Linked DNA regions of Schizosaccharomyces pombe. The gene in region 1 interacts genetically with each later gene. Each region holds a gene or a part of one and is shown on either strand. Other genes may lie near its edges.

Evidence for each region.
Region 2: mutations in rad57 (region 1) and clr3 together harm fitness more than expected from each alone (negative genetic interaction), as found in Schizosaccharomyces pombe (2 studies listed by BioGRID).
Region 3: mutations in rad57 (region 1) and ask1 together harm fitness more than expected from each alone (negative genetic interaction), as found in Schizosaccharomyces pombe (3 studies listed by BioGRID, with this or other methods).
Region 4: mutations in rad57 (region 1) and rad8 together harm fitness more than expected from each alone (negative genetic interaction), as found in Schizosaccharomyces pombe (3 studies listed by BioGRID, with this or other methods).

What each region holds. Positions count from the first base shown.
Region 1 is NC_003424.3:2,121,060-2,125,059, reverse strand, and holds rad57 (DNA recombination mediator, RecA family ATPase Rad57/Rhp57), read right to left. Parts: upstream 2,031-4,000; 5' UTR 1,771-2,030; coding exon 1,704-1,770; exon of another isoform or gene 1,609-1,703; coding exon 611-1,608; 3' UTR 554-610; downstream 1-553. Other genes in the region: whi2 (phosphatase activator), read right to left, coding at 1-68; gpl1 (Gpl1-Gih35-Wdr83 complex RNA-binding subunit), read left to right, coding at 2,852-4,000. UniProt on the Schizosaccharomyces pombe protein: Involved in recombination DNA repair and in the repair of gamma-ray-induced damage.
Region 2 is NC_003423.3:253,001-257,673, reverse strand, and holds clr3 (class 2 histone deacetylase Clr3), read right to left. Parts: upstream 2,989-4,673; 5' UTR 2,853-2,988; coding exon 789-2,852; 3' UTR 536-788; downstream 1-535. Other genes in the region: cell cycle transcriptional repressor Whi5, read right to left, coding at 3,690-4,364, 4,443-4,526. UniProt on the Schizosaccharomyces pombe protein: Responsible for the deacetylation of lysine residues on the N-terminal part of the core histones (H2A, H2B, H3 and H4).
Region 3 is NC_003423.3:1,561,820-1,565,703, forward strand, and holds ask1 (DASH complex subunit Ask1), read right to left. Parts: upstream 1,833-3,884; 5' UTR 1,746-1,832; coding exon 1,729-1,745; intron 1,674-1,728; coding exon 1,526-1,673; intron 1,448-1,525; coding exon 689-1,447; 3' UTR 507-688; downstream 1-506. Other genes in the region: protein trafficking protein Pga2, read right to left, coding at 1-216; protein meu25, read left to right, coding at 2,083-3,884. UniProt on the Schizosaccharomyces pombe protein: Component of the DASH complex that connects microtubules with kinetochores and couples microtubule depolymerisation to chromosome movement; it is involved in retrieving kinetochores to the spindle poles before their re-orientation on the spindle in early mitosis and allows microtubule depolymerization to pull chromosomes apart and resist detachment during anaphase.
Region 4 is NC_003424.3:169,931-176,193, forward strand, and holds rad8 (ATP-dependent chromatin remodeller/ubiquitin-protein ligase E3 Rad8), read right to left. Parts: upstream 4,763-6,263; 5' UTR 4,444-4,762; coding exon 1,042-4,443; 3' UTR 559-1,041; downstream 1-558. Other genes in the region: rps101 (40S ribosomal protein eS1), read right to left, coding at 5,083-5,841.

The DNA.
Region 1 (4,000 bases):
TTTAAATTACTTTCCAGTGTATTGGCTAAAGTGTCAACCGTATTGATTCGATCAATTGGAACTGACATTTTTGTGTTCTATTTTTGTAACGATTATGTTATAAAAGAATGTTCATTTTTTATTTACAAGATATCACCAATGCATACTTGGCTTTTGGTAAAAATGTTAGGTGCAAATTTCTAAAGGATCGCCAATAGCGGAAGCTATCGGAAAGGTCTTACAAAATCTTTTACGCGCAATAGTAAAAACAGGTAGAAAAAGCCATTCGTCGGTTAAGAGAGCTCTTTGGGCATTCTTTGTTACGTGTAAAACTTTTTATTGTATTTTTTTCCATTTCAATACCCAACTGGTATATCCAAAATTCAGTCCACTAAAGTATGTCGGATTCTAATAAAAATGCACTACCATCATAGATCAACAAAATATATATTTAATAGTGACAGAGGTAATATAAATATAAAGATAAATAAGTACACTTATATATGTAACAGTTACTCAAAGCATTACTTTTCTTTCTGCGAATGATTGATAAGCGACAGTCGATTAAACAAAGTTAGGGCAATTCATAAACCGGTTTTATTATATTATATATAAAATTTTTACAAAAATGCTAGCACGAATATATCCCAACCGATCCTATGCATATTCGTACGTCAAGCCTTGGAGAATTTGGTGAATAAACAACCCGAAAGATTCTCCCCGAATTATTGGTGGCAGAGTCGGTTTTCTTAATTAATGCTAATCTCGTACTGATGTTATTAGTCCAAACGAGACCAAGAGATGGTATTTTGGGATTTGGATCTGTGTCATCCCATCCCGAAAACCATTGCGATTGATAATCTAAACTAAACAACCCAATAGCATCATAATCTCTAGGAATTCTATCGCTAACTTGGTTAGCTATGACAACAGCAGCTTCATGTTGATGAGCTAAAGTGCGTAGAGTCATAGCTAACTTTCCCAATTGATTTCCACGTTTGGCAATATTATCTAAATCTCTAAAATGACTTTTGGATCGGTTGTAACGGAGCTCAGCTCTGTAGTTGGAGGCGACACTATCCAATATAACCAACCCAATTTTATCCCGATTGAATAAAATCGGCAGTTGATACTGAATGATATGTTCTTGAGATTCCAGATCTGGGCATAATATAGTATACACCCTATCTCCTGGATTTTTTATAATTATGTCTTTCTTATCAGCTTTGGGATACCTTTCTGGTAAATAACGCGCCAGTTCAAATAATCGTTTTGTTTCAAGACCGGACTCTGTAGAAATGAAGACAGCTGCTTTGTTCATTCCTCCTAAACTGAGAGGTAGTTGAACCATTAAACAAAGCTGCATACAAAACTGTGACTTCCCTGAACCGCTTTCACCACATATTTCAGTTAACTGTCCTACTGGTATACCTCCATGTAGAGTTTCATCCAACTTTACATCGCCAGTTGTCAAATATTTCGAAGTGACTTTGGAAGCAGAACATCTTACTGGTTGAAGAAGGAGGGATATCTGCTCAATTAACTGTAATAACTCACTTTGACTACAATGTGTGCGTCTTTCTAGCTCAGTAATATCCAGCGTTAACAAATCAACCGTGCTTACTTCTCCTAAAGCTGTCAGTAATTCCGTCTTTTAAGATCCCGGTACAAAAACCCAATATTTTTTTTTTATGTGCAAGCTTATTGAACTACTAAACGCTTACCTAATTCAAATGCTGAAGCAATTTTCTCATCAAAGTAGAAATTGTCAACATAATTCGAAATATCCATCCATATAGTAGAAAGAAAGAAGATTTTTAATTGTAAATATGATATGTATAGTTTTTACTCATAAAGATAAATGAAAATTATATCCACACCATAGAATATTCGAAAGTTGATAGTTTTATATAATGAACAGCTTTGTATCCTACGATTGAATTAAATTCTCACGATTATTTAGAAGTAATAGCACGAACTTCTAACCCACTTTTTCGCAGAAAGAAACGGTAATTTATGTACCACTATAGAAGTGGTGAGTCGAAGATGTTGTACGCGAATTACAACTGACCTGCCAATACCTCTATGTTTAGTAATTATAATCCTTATGAGAAGAAGCCCCGCAATCGACGAATATTTATATGAACATTGGTTTTTATAGAACATTAGCATAGTAACCGCTTACACTTATTTTTTTAACATCTTCAAACCATACATCTATGAAAAACCCCACGTAATGATACACATACTTGCCTAACCACCATTCCTTAATTGATAATTAAGTTATCAAGATATGTGAAATTATATAAGCAGCATATCCAAATGTGTATTGCTCATTAATTGTTAGGCATTAAAATTCGTAGTATGGTTGAGCAAACGAAGTATAAGAAATGATGTTTTACCAATCAACCGACGATAATTCGCTCAGTTTACCAGCTACCAACAAATTTCTTAGTTTATGAATGCTTGGTTCAACATGAAGTAATACTAAATAGAACTTTGTTGAGATTTCTCAATAACAGACAAAATATACATGATACATTTTTCATCTCATGAAACTTCAACTGTACAAAGAATTAGGTAATAGATAAATAACGTACCCTAACGCTCGCAGATTGCACTACGGAGGCAGCTGAAATTCGAAGCAAGGGCAACTGTTTAAAAATTGAGTATTGTAATTGCTTTTGTCAACAAATCAGAATTCTTTGATAAGTTATCTGGCTTTATTAAAAATTAAAAGTTGCTCAACATAGTATTCTTGTCGCCTCAAAAATAATGGGCTTATAGTATCCTAAAATATGCCTTAAATTTTGAATTTTGAATTTTTTTTTTTTCAGTTTAACTACGGATCACGATTACTTCTTGTTTTAAAATGTATGCCAATTCAAGAAAAAGAAGCAATGTCGATGTTCATCGGCACCCTTATGTAGTTTATGGCTCCCCTTTTGATCTTGAGCCGTCCAGAATTAATCAAGGAGTTCCTGTTTGGAAACAAGAAGCCAGGGATGAGCGTAATAGAAAGAGATTTCATGGTGCATTTACTGGTGGATTTTCTGCTGGCTATTTTAATACGGTTGGTTCAAAAGAGGGTTGGCAACCTAAATCTTGGAAAAGTTCAAGGAATGAAAACAAAAGTGTGCATGGAATGACTATTGACGATATTATGGACGAGGAAGATCGTGCTGACCAAGAGCTTAGTAAAGTTTATACTTCGAAAATAAATACGATTGATACATCTATACCAATTGATGATCCTCTACTTAGAGAATTCTCAAATAGGGACGATAGCATTGGCGAAAAAATGTTAAAAAATCTTGGATGGAACGGTCATGATTTTGTTATATCTCCATTTCAAGGGTATTATGATGACACTAAGTTAACCAACCAAGCTTATCACGGTATCGGGTATCAAGCGGACGATGTTTTTCAGCTGGAAAGAAAACCAGTTGGAATGGCAAAAAATCTGCGCGGTGGATTTGGATCAGGTGTTTTAAATGATGATGGGATAGAAGATCAAGATATATACGACCTCGGTGCTCCAAAAATGCGGTATGATAAATCTATCAACATTACAAAAAAAGTCGCTTCTCCATTTACACCCGTTAAGCATACCTTTCTGTCAAAAAAAGACAGAAGCAAAGGGAAAAGCATAATCAAATCGCAAAATTGCTCAGATGGTCTACCTCCCCTTCCAGGATTTGTAGTGGTATTTAATTTACAATCACCTTTTCAAAATAATTGGTTTCCTCCTCCTACAATACCTGAGGGTTGGGAGCCAAAACTTTTTACAAATTCTCAAGGATTTTCACAAAAAAAAGCCCAAACTTCAAATGAGCGCTTACCACTTTTTGCTGAGAAAAGTGAAACAAATTCCAACGGTGAAGCAAGTTTACCTAGTGATGTTAATCATGGTGTCAAGGAAGATGAGGGATCTTGGCAACTAATTGACATTGAGACAGCTAAAAATGCAATGTCTAGGAAAGATAATCCCTATAACGATGAGCGTGCCGGAATTTACGAG
Region 2 (4,673 bases), on another chromosome or scaffold:
GATCAAGTCGTTTTATTAAAAAAAAAAAAAGCCAGCCTTCCTTAATAGTAAAGTTGCTACATTTACAATTACTGTTGACCGGTTATCATTCATGCAATTTGGATTAGTTAAAAAAGTTGAACATCACAGAATCATCCATCATTCATGAAGGTCGTACTGGGAATCGAACCCAGGTCTCGAGAATCAGAATCTCACGTGCTAACCATTACACCATACAACCAAATCAATTTTTTTGTGTGATATAGTTATTAATATTGGAGAATAAGAAAACAATTTAAATGCTGTTTGTACTATGAATCTAATTTTACAATTTAAACAACATACTATAATATTATCCTTTTGCGGTACAAAAAATGGATGAGGGATTTCCCTCAGCTTTAGAGAAATGCTTTTAAGCAAAATTACGACAAAAATCAACAATAGTTGTTTGAACTAAAATAATATCACGGATTTGAGGAGCTTTATTTTATAAAACAATATTATAACCTTATTTATTTAATTATATTGAACATGAATAAAATGAAGCCAGCAATAACAATAAACCATTTGTGTATACATTCTACTGGAAAATAAAGTCAAAATCCACCAACCTTGAGAATAATGAGCTCGAATTAAAGTATAAGTAAAAGAGACAAAGCAGCTTAGCAGATTGAGTACGAATCATTCAGCGGGTTTGGCAAATCATGAATGTCCGTTATAAATTTTAACGTAGATAACTTAAGGAGGTTAAATGTGTGACAATTAAAAGAATAGAAAACCATGAAAAAATCATAAGTCAATAACGAATGTTACTGAGAAGTTGGTCGGGCCTTTTGAAGCAAATGCAGCAAGTATTGAGTAACCGCTCGATAGTGTTGCTCCATCATGTCCGAAGTTTCAGTATGTTCACTTTGCATAAGTCGTCCATATCTTCTTTTAGCACGCTTTGCCTTTTTCCAGCACTCATTACTAGAACTCACAAACACGAGTGAATGACGATAATACCACGTTGGAAGATCTTCCTCTGATGCCGTTTTAAGACCCACCAAAGGTTCAGTGCCAAGGAAATTCACCATACACTTAACTCTGTCTGACACATTCCTGGAAGATGCCAAATTAACCAATCCATGTACCGCTTTGCCTCCACCGATGAAAAAAATATTTTTTGAAATCGACAACTCAACATAATTATCCCATACATAAAGACAAAGTTCTTTCACTTCAGAAAGAATGTCAACCGGTGCATTTTCACCGTCCGTAACCACTTCAGGTATATTTATGTCGATAAGCCCCCAGTCCTGTTGCATAGCCCATTCAACATAAAGGCTCACGGGATCTACTAAAAGCGAATCATTTAAATTCAAAACGTTCGTTTCACTAGTTCCATTACCCAGGACTCTAGGAGATTCATGGACAATAACGAGAAGGTTATCTTTTTGAAAGAAATTGCTAGAGCACAGTACTTGATTGTTGAATACATTGGAAACGGAATCCCTTAGTATTGGCATATTGGTAATTTTCCAGTCTTCGAAAAGTTTTTTAGCTTGATAAGTTCGAATAACATCATGTAATCGATCTACATGGGCATCCTTAGGATTTGCGTCGAAGTGTTTCGGCCTCATACATCTCCAGTATTGGGATTGTATTTTGGTTACATGGTTGATGGTAGCAACGGCCTGTGGACATGCATATGTTGTATGCAATCGTCCAGGAGGAATTCCCAACAAACTTTGGGCTACAGCTAAGGCTGATGTGCTTATAGAATCCAAATTATAACCTCCCTCAAGGGAGATAAAAACTTTCCCATCTGCTAATCCCATTAACATTTGTGTCATATGAGCATAGGCAGCTGGAGTTAACAAGAATTGACCAATGTGATCTCCTGCAGCAGCATCAAAGCCGCAACTTACAATAACTAAATCTGGATCAAATTCATAAGCAACAGGCATTACGACGCGCTGAAAAGCGTATATATAATCACCATCTCCCATGCCAGCACAACTCCAAGGAATATTTACAGTTCTACCCAATCCCGGGCCCTCTCCACAATTTTCTGCACACCCATAATTGGTGCCAGGATAGAAACGACCATTTTCATATCGATGCAAAGAAACGTATAGAACATTTGGATCGTCATAAAAAGCCATTTGCGTACCATTTCCATGGTGTATATCCCAGTCGACAATCAATACTCTTTTTATTTTATCCGGAAAGCGTTGTAGCATACTCCTTGCGGTTACAGAAACATTGTTGAATAAACAAAAGCCACCAGGTTTATGGGGTTCTGCATGATGGCCAGGAGGGCGAACAACTGCGAAGGCATTTTTTACTTGACCAGTTACGACAGCCGTACATGTTTCAATTGCGCTACCACAAGCCAATCGAGCACAAAACGCACTTTCGTTATTATAGTATAGAGAATCACTGATTTTTTCGAGATTGGCCAAATCCTCATGAGACATTTTTTCGGTATTAGTAACCCTATCATACATTTCCTGTGAATGAACTTGTAATAACTCTTCTAAAGTAGCTTCTCTAGCCGGAATCCGTAAAAATACATCTGACGGACTCGGCACATTAGATACATAACCGGCCTTCTTTATAGCTTCAAAAACACGAAGGACGCGTCTTGGATCTTCAGGATGGTCATCCACTTCACTTAGAGTGGCATGGAATCTCATTCGAGGATCATAGCATAATCCAGATTTTTTCAAGATTTGCGACATTTCATGGGATTCGTTATTTAATGTATTTTCACTTCCAGACATTGGTTTATTGTTTGTCAAAAGAATAGACCATGGAGTTACCGTGTTTACAGCATCATCGGATGGTTTTACAGAAGTAGATGCACCATCAGAATTAGAGGCCAGCATTCGTTTTCTATCGCCCTTAAAAAGGTCAATCAATTAATAAATTAATAAAAAAATCTCCTATTAAACAACTCCCTCATAAAACTGTCGAAACACTTTTTGAAGCGCGGCTCACTCGATATAGGTAGTTTTGGTCGTCAAAACTGTTGCTGGTACTTCTAAGACATAAGTATAGAGGAGCAATGAGAGAATATAATCTCAACCATGCTAACAAAGGAGTTTGTTTGGTAAAGAATAAAAATGTAAGTAATTAAGACGTTTAGTAAGGCTTTAAATAGAAGATTGATCCTGAACGTATGGAGATTGAGAAAAAATAGAGTTTGTAATGAGGCTCATGGGAGGGTCTTATTTTTATTTATTTATTTATTTTATTTTCTTAGAAACTTAAAAATAGCTTTGTCTCGAGCCATACTTCGAAATGAATGCATAATTTTGCGAGTTCGCGAATTTCCATTATCTTATATAATAATCATTTCAAATCATAAGGATCAAGATGTAGGAAGAACGTTAATAAATACATGGTAAATAATGTTTCTATGATCTTTAAGACTGTTGTACGCCCGGAAACATTCACCCTTTGTCATAAACATCATTAAGCATTATCACAATTTGGCTTGTACATATCAAGCATTTAAACATATAGAGGGTTAATAGCTCATCAACCATAGGACTGGAGACGGATAGCAAGAAATAACAAAACTTCTCAAACGAGATTTTTCCAAAAATTCTTCAGCAGGATGTGAACAATCAATCTATTCATCCAAATTATAGATTAACTCTCATGAAATAATTATGTAATTTTATATCTTAATGCTCGTATACCATCTAAAATGAAGGATGTTATGGTTTTTTCGAAGGCATAGAATTCACCAACGTAAGCATAACTTCAGCTGCCTTGCAATCATCTGCCGATAGGGGATAAGCCGTTGGAAAAGGAAGACTCGTGGACTTGCGAATTCTACTGAGGTTTGCAGTGCCAAGGCGAAGAGACTCATCGGTTTCTTCAGGGCGTGAAATATGGTAATTCATTCCGAACAGTGGAGATTTAGCTGAAGCAGTGGAGGCATGGCTAAGTTCAAATGGCAGTCTGGGTAGCTCAGTATGAGGCTCAACGTAGTTCAACCAAGGAGGACTAGTTCTATCAAAAGACGAGGACGTAGAAGAAACAGCACTAGAAGATGAGTAAGGAGATACAGGCTTCTTATAAGGAAGCTGAGCGAAGCCCTCTCTTGGGCTCACCAATCGCGTAAATGAACTTGCACGCAGCTTGCCTGTATTCGATCCCATAATTGAGTTGGGGTGATGCGGCCTTCTTAGCTTAGAAGAGTCCAAGTCATTGATCGAGCGTGATCTACGATGAACGTGATTTTCCTTACGAACAAGCGTTTCCACTTGATCTAATGTCTGATCTTCCCATCCATGATCGACCTTAAAAAACGCTGCCTTCAAACGAGCCCTAAGTTTGTTTGATAACTTGTATTCAAAAGTTAATGACAATTCGCAACGATTTTTATGCTAAACCAAAATTATTCATCGACGATTCTATTTGTATCGTCGAGATGTTACCTAATTGTGTTTGCGTAATTGACATACCTTGCTTAATGATTCATCGTATTTTTGTTGAATAACTTCATCAGTCTGCCTTGTAGCTTCATTTTTCTTGTGGCCGCCTGCCATGAATTAATATTTGTTGAGTTCGTCTGTATGCAGGTATATAAAAATGACGAGTTATTAGCCTATTCGAATTCTCCTTTCGATAAATTCCTTTTATAATATCCAATTGCAATCAAATAATCCTCCGTATAGCATATAATTGTTTCAATT
Region 3 (3,884 bases), on another chromosome or scaffold:
ATGTTCTTTGGGCTTCGTGCCATGCGTCATTTCCGGATCTAAAGTACCATCTACTTCGCCTTCTAATAAAGATTTTCTATGTTCTCTCTCCTGTATCTTGGCTCCCAACTTCATCAAATATGGCCGGATTAACATATATCCTCCAACATATACGATAATTCGAATCCAGTCCTTCAATGAATATGATTGTAAATAGCCTGCAACGTCAAACCCCATTTTCCTTGCACAAAAAAGAGTGGTGGATACTAAGTTCACCTGTCTGCTCAACCAGGCAAACTATTATTAACCAAGTCACTAAAATTCTTTAGACTTTTTTAGAATTTTTAAAACCTCGTTATTCGTCTTAACGTATATTCTCAATGATATGCTGTAAAAAGATTTATTAATTAGGCTATAATACTAATTTATTTAAAAATTTTATAGTTATTTGCTTTCTTAGTTTATTTTAAAATTATTTTCATACAAATTTTACTTGGTTTACAGTATTTATACCGTGACTTATGATTCTCTTAAAAGAAGAATTTTCCAAATTAAATAGAACGTACAGTAAATAAAAAATTATATAACATAAATATAAGGTGGGATTTTATGAAGTAGACATATGTGCTTAGAAAATAAATAGAAAAAATGCGAAAGTAAGGTTCACTACTAAAGGCGAAACGAAGGTGATAACTTCAGCAGTGCTTTATCAGAGTTCCCAACTATCTTCTTCTTTGACAAAACTATCATTAGAATCATTCAAGGTTTCTAATTTCCTCTGCAAAGACAGGCTTCGCTCGTTGGCTTGCTGAGAAGAACCCACCCCCATGGTATGCGGGCTGAATTGGATAGTTTTAGGTGGAGACATTCCACTTGGGTTAATGCTATCATAGCTTTCATGCTCAAATTCTGCAAATAAAGAAAGAGCATGCGAAGAGTTTCTATCGTTAAGTGAAGGCATGTCCATTTTCATTGATATGGGAGAAGGCGATACAAAAGGAGAAGAATCAATATCCATTACTTCTTGAGATTGCAAATTCTTAGGCTCACGTGGAGTCACTTGTACTTGCCAATTTGTATCTAAAACGCGATGCAGAAGGGCACTACGACCTGTATGAGGATTATTTTCTGGTTTTCTTAGCGGAGTCTGCATCCTTGCCGGGATGGGGGTCAAAGCTGCATCATCTAACGAAATATCCTCTAAGGAGACATCCATCTTCTTAGGAGTGGACTGTACAAAATCCTCGTTTTTTGTATTATCTCCTTGTACAGCTGCATCGGGAAAATCAGATTTTCCGACAAAAGAATGCCTCTTTTCCAAATGTTCATTCTTTGTGTGCAGCTGTAGGTCCGCCTCTGTAGAATTAGACATAACATCTTGATCGCTTGGATTGGATTCTACTGGAACAGGTTCCTCTACACCCGAAAGTGAAACATTGGCACTTGCTTCAAAAAACTGCTTCCAAAACTGTTTTCTGTTAGCTTAATTCTTAAAATAATACAAATTACAAGCTGAATCATGAGTGGCAGTTGCCATTGAACATACTTTTGAAGAGTCCCATATAGTGTTACAATTTTTTGCGTATTTTTCCACGATAGGCAAGATTTTGGTAGTCACTGTTCGATGACATTTAGAAAAATTTGCATCAATTTCGTAAAGTGCTAGAGTAATCGATTGTTCCAATCGTTCTAATCTAATTCTTTTGTTAGAGAATGTTTATCTACAGTCGCGACAAGTTTACTGCATACTGTTCCAAATTGTTCATAAGAATGACATCTAATACTCATAAAAACTTTGAAAATATTATTTCTTAGTATAGAAACTCTCAATGGTGAAATTTATGGCGAACTGCAACTGAGGTGTAGGTATACTAGCGTCCATTATTAGCGATGTTTCGTAAAGTAAACAAGTTAAATTGGCAATATACAGTGAGATTTTTGTAAGTTCAAGATAATACTAATACAATCATTGTTGAGTAATAAATATGAATTTTAAAGTTTTGTTTACTTTCCTCAGTGGACTAAATGCAGACTGCAATGATCAAATGATCCATAGTAAACAAACATTCAACTTGTCTTTTGCCAGCATCCTCAAGATCCAAAATGAGTAGTATCTTTGGAGAGAATATTGTTTCAGATAGTATAGTAAATATGGAGTTGACGAACCCTGATAATACTACGACTATGCATCCCATCTATGAAACTAACATTGAAAAGGAAGTCCAGCAGGAGTTTTCTGACAATGTCTCTGAAAAAGAAACGATTGACTCAACTAAAAGCAAAATATCTTTAGAAAATATACAGCAAGAAATGGGAGCACTTGCCAAGAAAATTTTTCATAAATTAGGGGTTAAAGCAACCGACTTGGGATTTTCTAATGAGCATGATGACTCGCAGGATTCATTACAGACACTAGCGCCTTCTCCATCATATGTTCCACTTTTGAAGGTTATTGGAAGCTCTGAGGAGGTCAATAGCAACTTGGTATTAACCGACTTGGAAACAAATACTGATGGATATGATCCTAAATTTTTGATTTCTGTTAGGAAGTTTTTGATGGGATCTCCCAACTCTGGCTTTGTCGTTAAACATGAGAAACGTCTTCCAGATGGACCGCGTGTTCTGGCCCTTCGAGCCATTTCATCAGTCGATGAAGAAAATAGAAAAGAGCGCCTATCTCCTGATAGTGATCCTGTTGAAACAGAATCTGTTTATGTTGACAATGGAGAATTGTCAAATCAAAAAGTAGAAACAGTTGAAATTTCCGAAAAAGAACAAAATGATGATCCCGCCGGATATTCTCAATACCTTCTAGAGTTCAAGAAGAGTAAATGTCAAAAGAAAGTGCCGACTTTAGAGAGTATTGAGGAAAATGAAGGAACGGAACCTCATGACAACTTGACCTTTATGACTGATTTGGGAACTCCATACTATTCTCTGGGTAATGAATTTGAAAGAAAGCAAATTTTGGATGAATACGGGTTGCTGGCTAATGATGAAAACCTAGTTATTGGACACACGTTAAGAGCGGAGTATTGCTTTATGTTTGATGAAAGCGATATCCTGCAATTACGCAATTATGAACATACAGAAAAGGAACTTAGTGTCCTTCAATTTAAAGGGGTCTCGTCACGTTGGGATTTTCGTTGCTGTAGAGAAGAACGTTTACTCCGATTGCTACTATGTTTCGACAGTGAACATACTGGGCAATCTTTCATTCAACTGAACGATCCTGAAAATGAAAATGAAAAGGAAGAACAAAATTCCATTAGCATTAGGGAATTATCCTACTTCAGCACAAAACTTATTTCATTGATCTTACCCAAAGAAGCACATAAGCAGCGGTATATCATGCTAAGCTCCTTAGCAAAGACAAGGGAAGCTGATTTCTTTTGGTCTGAAGAGGAAAAAACTAATTATACAAACGAGCTTCTCAGCAACCCATGCAAATTCCTTTGTGAACTAGATCATTTCGATTCATTTCCTCATCAACAACAAGATCTACTCTGGAAGTACTTAGCGGAGTTTTCTGCTAGTTTAGAGTTAGACCCCAACCTTGCCCTTTGGAAGAAGCAAGTTATTTTTTCAAAAATCGGTCATCCGAAGTTGCTGGTTATGCCAATATCTAGTTTCCACTGCGTACAACGTTTCCCTGACCTTGTTTGCGTTCAAACTTCAACTGCTGAAACGTTTTTGTCTGTGGATCGTGAATTAACAACTTATGACCTAAACACTATTAAGTTGTTAAACACAGCACCTAGTCGTACAGCTCAAAACTGGCTTTTTATCATGCATCACCTAGAAATTGTAGGCTATTTATTTCCACATTTGGTTCATCTCGATAAACAGTATAGTTTATTAGATTATGCAAAGTCTGTTGAGCACATTCCAGAATTGGGCACTGT
Region 4 (6,263 bases), 2.0 Mb from region 1:
TTTTCCGAAATCTTAAACAACCACTAAATCAGATTGTATTAAGGTCTTATCGAAACGACCTATAAAATAACGAACGAAATCTCGAGATATAAAAATAAATCAAAGGGTTAGAGGTATATGCTGATGGTAAAAAAAAGCTTCCTGATTGTCTTAATGAGGCTGAATACGCGTTAAGCTTCCTTTGACTAGCTATCGTTAATTTTTTAAAGGCTTTGTTAAATATTTTATTAACGTCGGCTCCTTTGCCGATGGTAGAGACAACCGTAACCTTGCCTAAATTTTTATAACCCAGCAACCGGCACGTTACTTGCTTATAAAACTTTCTACGGGTAGCTATTAGAAAAATGAAATTTATGGAATGAAAACTTAGCTAAAATATTCGGATTTAATTTTGTGTCACTGATTTCATCAAAATATCTTGACCTTATTAAACAACTACTTCGACTTTTCAACAAAGAGAGAGGCTGACCAATATAGTTGAATTATACACATCGCTTTCTTTCTGTGACCGGATTTCCATCACAATCGCTACTACTATTTAACAAGGTTAACAATAATAAAAAAATCGAATAAAAGTTAACAATTATACCTATCTCTAATATACTGAACAAAACATTAGCCAGCCTTTACACTGCAGCAGCTAAAACTTATATTCCCTTGCCCATGATACTCAGCAACAACATCATGAATACAAAAAAGTAAGTCATCCAAGGAAATTTATGAGTTCAAAAAATGGAATAAAGTATTACACATTCACTACTTTAGATTGTATAGCTCCAGGGTAAACTGTCGTTCCTTAATACTTTTGTTACTTATGCACCGAATTCGACTATTTCGCATTCATTAGTGATAGACGTGAATCAACAAATCCAAGGGGTGTAGATAGTTTATAATTTATCTTGTAACGCAGTTTGTTTATCACATACTCTCTTAGAATTTGACAGTCATGACAACGACCACGGTAGCAATTGCATTTCATATGCATAATATGAAAATACTTTTTTTTTACGATAGCTTTTAATCGGCTTGGTGAAACCGTTGTTAATATTCAAACAACATTTTGATGTCTTCAATTGACTGAACCTGCTGCTTTCCTTCCGACATGCCCAGGGTCCCAGTAATAAAATTTTTGCGTTCTTGTATTTTGAGCATCCTTTCCTCAACAGTATCACGTACAATATATCTCGTCACAAATACAGGCTTTTCCTGTCCTAAACGATGAATACGATCGATGGCCTGTGCTTCCACTGACCAGCTCCACCATGGATCCATAATAAAAACATGGTTGGCACAAGTAAGGTTTAAACCAACCCCGCCTGCCTTTAAAGAGATAATCAGCACGTTAACATCAGGATCATTTCGAAATGTCTCTAAAGCCGTCGACCTCATTTGTTGTGACATGGTACCATCGAATCTAGCATACCCCATCTTCTCTGACTCGAGAACGTCTGCGATAATATCCAGGAATGTGGTAAACTGTGAAAAGATAACGACCTTTTCAGGTTCAGAACTATGAGTTAATTGACGCAATTGTCCTAAAAGGCCATTAAGTTTCACTGATTGTAGCCTATTCCAATATTTCCATTTTACTTCCTCACCGACTAAAAGCGTAGACTGTGTTCCGTTATTTTTGACAAAAAAAGGTTTATAGACATCTTGCTCATTGAAGGGTTGACGACATGTATGACAAAGCGGAGGAATTATGTTTCTTCTTTTTTGATACTGAATATGTTCTGACAAACAATCTCCGCAACAAGCATGCTTGCAGTTCAATAACAAGGGATTTTGAATTGGTTCATTACAACATATGGGACATTCCGTTATCAATGCTTCAAAAGACTTCAGTGTATCAATTTTTAAAATATCTGAAGGAATGGGCTTTCCAGTGACAACAAATTGATTAATTAAAGAATTAAATTGCTCAACCGAAAACTCAAAATCATCAAACGTTTCACTGTTAATGGTCATATTGGAAAGAAGCACAGGGTCACAACACGCCTGTCTTAATCTTAAAAGTAATCCGAGGATCGTTGTATAGTTTCTGAACAGCGTTCCGGCAACTATGTTTGCATTAACGGTACTTTTTGCTTTGGTATAGAGAGAGTCATAAATTTTCCTTTCTGAGTCAGAAAAGTCCAAATATTCAATTTTTACGGTTTTTGGAGGTAACGTAACAATTGAGTTTCCGTTTCTATCTTTAGTTTCTTTGGTTCTTCTCAAAACTAAAAACTCCAAAATTGATTGAACAACATTCAACGCCTTTAAGACATCTTTTGACTGATATGGCAGACTCACAAAGGTTTGCCAATAAGTGTAATTACACCACGGCTCATATCGCATAAATTTAATCAAGCTATACAAGTCATCCAGTTTATTGACTATTGGCGTACCTGTAATCACCCAACGATTCTGGGACGAAATACTATGACACGCTTTCGCGGTTTTGCTTTCCCTATTTCTAATGTTATGTCCTTCATCAAGGACAACACGGAACCAATGCACAGAAAACAATCCCGAAGAATGAGATTGCTGACTAAATTCTGAAAGTAACACACCATAACTAGTTATGATGATCAAGGGAGCTGTGGATGTATCAATAACACAAGACTTCAGATCCAAAGGCTTTTCAGAACCATAATAAATCATGCTTCTGAATTTGGTGCCTTGAGACACCTTACAAGCTTCGGAGTGCCATTGATCTAACAATGACATAGGTGCTACTACCAAAGTCGTCCTACTGGCGACAGGAAGGCTGGGTTTAGAATGTCTAAAGGCTTCTGGTATTTCATCGGTTGAAAAGCAAGGTCTAGAATGAATAAGTGATAATACTTCAATCGTTTTGCCTAAGCCCATTTCGTCTGCTAAAATTCCACCCCGATGATAAGGCATTGAATTCGGAAACAACATTGTAGTTTCGCCAGTATATAAGTTAACGTAAAAATGTGTGTTGTCATCATCACTAGAACATTTAAAGAATTCAGGGAATTCTGAGTCCTTTGGAAATCGAAATCGACTCCACAAAGGATGAAGCTTAGGTGCACTACCATCACTTTGTACGCCCTCTTCTTTACAACACATCCAATACAAAGCCTGTTTTTGATACTCACGAAGATCAAGAGCAAACGTTGATGGCTTTGGAGCAGACGGCAATTCAGCTCCAGAAGTTTTAACTTTGTCATATAATATAGCAAGTTGGTCGCTAACAACATCTTCCTCGTCTTCAGTTGAGGATGGGGTTAGATCTGAGTTACTCTCGTCCCTCGCTTCAGGCAATGAACTTGTTTTCAATATATCATCAATATGAATACTCTCTTTAGTGTTGCAGTCTTCAAGGTCTGGTTCCAAAGCTATCCAAGTAAACAAACGAAGTAAATGATCACGTTTATTTTGAGCAAAAGAGGCTTTTAAATGTTCTTCCTCTTCTTGCATAGAATTAGTTGCCAAAGTGAATGGAGATCGGTTCAAGGACGGATGATTGACATTGATAAAACAATAAACTTGTAAAGTGACATTACTCCCAAATCTAATTATATTGTCGGAGTAAATGCATATGGCTTCAAATGACCAAAAACCTTGCTCCATCAACGTTGAAATAACAGAAGCGACTTCAGTAGGTAATTTACCAATTTCATGATGATCTGAATTACAAAATCTAACGATATTGCTATAGCATGAAGAATTAATGCTTAGCAATTTTGATTTTTTCCTAGAATTTCTCGATTGTGATTTTATGGAAAGTTTTTGACGTTCTAAATAGATCCTTTCGCCAGCCTGGAGTGTTCGAGTACCTGATGCAGTTGAATAAGCCTCCACACCAAAGCATCCGATATACTTCATCAACTCATTCTTCTTCATAATAAAGTCCAGCGGAGTAAGAGCATTCCGTGATTGCTTCTTCATCATTTCTTCTTTATCAATAGATACATCTTGAACAGAACTGTTAGATGACAAATTCAATGAAGGGCTAACAGCATTTAAGGCTTTTTTATTTGTGTTCCTATTAATACTAAGATCCTTAACGGATACAGTATTAGATAATTGGTCCATCTGGGTCAACGAGGCATCAGTGTCTTTCTGACTTTCACTGTCAGGATTCGAATTCTTTATATTAAAGGATTCATCAAAATACATATCAACGGCGACATTCAAATCTCCATTCGAGGTTTTCCAAATTTTTTGAGCTAAAAATTCCGAAATTGTTTTTTCACCAGTGACAGATAAAAAGTCTAAAACCCATGACTCTGAAACTCCACTATCTCCATATTCCTTGCCTGCTGCGTTAGCATTTTCATGTTGAGAATTTGTTTTTAAGTCTACGATGGAATTCGCAGCAGTTAAATCATTCGGTTTAGAGTCAGCTTCAACATCTGAATCAAAAAATCGAGGAGGAGAATTTTCTTCTAAAGGGGCTTCATCTATAATTTTTTGTACCTTTCTTTTCATTTTATTGAGTTTCTTGGTAATGTTTGCTTATCCAAACTTTAAGCTACCAAAAACTGTAGAAATATAAAATAACATGTATAATTTGACAACCAAAAATAACTTTTAAAAATTGCTTGATATAAACAAATTTAACAACTTTTTAAACAATTCACCAAGTCCGTTAACTAGTAGATCCAACTTCTCTAATGAGCAAACATTTGAATTCTTTTAATTTAAATATTCTAATAGGATTATAAATGATGAAAGGAGACTCTAAAAAAGTTGAATATTTGGGGAGGAAAATCTAATAATTATAGAAATAGCTCGCTGGCTAAATCTTGGAGGAACTGGAAAAACGCGAAATTACCATTTTAATCTATTCTTATTTAATGCACTATAGTAAACCTCAGTAAATTGAATAACAACAATGTAATATGATATGCATTTTCTAAAAGGAGAAAAATGAAAGTAAACGCACATGACTCTCTTAATTTAAGGTGATTATTTTGTGCAGATATAAGTTTACAAATTACTTAAAATGTGCCAACGTTATTATAAAAATATACTTTTAAATTTCCTGCTAGAAGAGTAAATTAGACACTATAAACTAGGCCCTTAATTCATATAATACACCGGCAAGATCACATAATTTTATTAAATTTAAACAGACTCCAAAGGAGCAACATCAGAAATGACCTTGGAACCAACGTCTTGAGACTCACCGTGTAATTCAAGAAGCTTTTGGGCGTCGTGCTTGGGAGCCTTCAAGATCTTTACCTTACGAACGAAAACGTTTTGCAAGGGATAAATGTTGTTGGTGGCCTTCTCGATAGCCCGGCCAATAACCTCAGGAATGAGCTTTTGGACAAGCTCCTTCATGGAACAACCGTTGGCTTGGTTTTGGATGACCTGGAACATCTTTTGGTGAATGGCACGAATTTGAGAAGATTGAGCATAAGTAGTCTTCTTGACTTGGTTGACACGACGGCTAGTAAAGCCAATAACGAAGATACGGCAAAGGTAACCATCGGTGGTCTTGATGGTTTGGTTGGCCTCAATAGTAGATTGCCATTTGCGAACCAAAGAACGCAATTTGTCAGAGGTCATATCGAAACCGTTAAAGCTGGTGAGGCAGCTCTTACCTTGGATGTCCTCAACACGAAGCTTGACCTTACGGAATGAGTGTTCCTCATCCTTTTGAAGATCAGCAAGAGAGACTTCCAAGATACGACCCTTCAAAGAATCATTGGCATTCTTTAAACCGGCTGTACGGTTGACAAGGGTTTTACCAACGTTCTTGACTTCAAAGAAAGCAGGAGCCTTGATATCGTACCAGTCCTTACGAGAGAAGGGGTCAACGACACGCTTCTTAATTCCTTTCTTTCCCTTTGAAAGTCTTTTATTTTTACCAACTGCCATTGCGGTATGGTGTAGGAGAAGCCTTCGTTGTTTCAATGTCCCTAACAAACTGACCGTGACTGCTTTTTTGGTTTTAAGACAATTTATTGAATCTTAAGTCTTGATAATTGGTGTGAAGCTTTTTTGTTTGTTAAATTAGTTTTTTAGTTAGAAAAGTTTTTATTCTTGTTTGACAAATTACTTCTATTTTTGGTATCCGTATACTACAAGTTTAGTTCATAGCTGAATATATTGTTCTAGTGGTAACTGACTATTTGCCATTTTCAAGTTACATGTCGAATCGCGGCACTGCAGGGATGGAAAACTTCTATTTATTTTTTGTGCACTCAAAAAATGATTTTTCATCAGGACGCTGTTAGCGTTGGTATGCATTTGTAGTATGTCAATCATATAGTACAATTTCATTAAAGTGCGAACAAAAC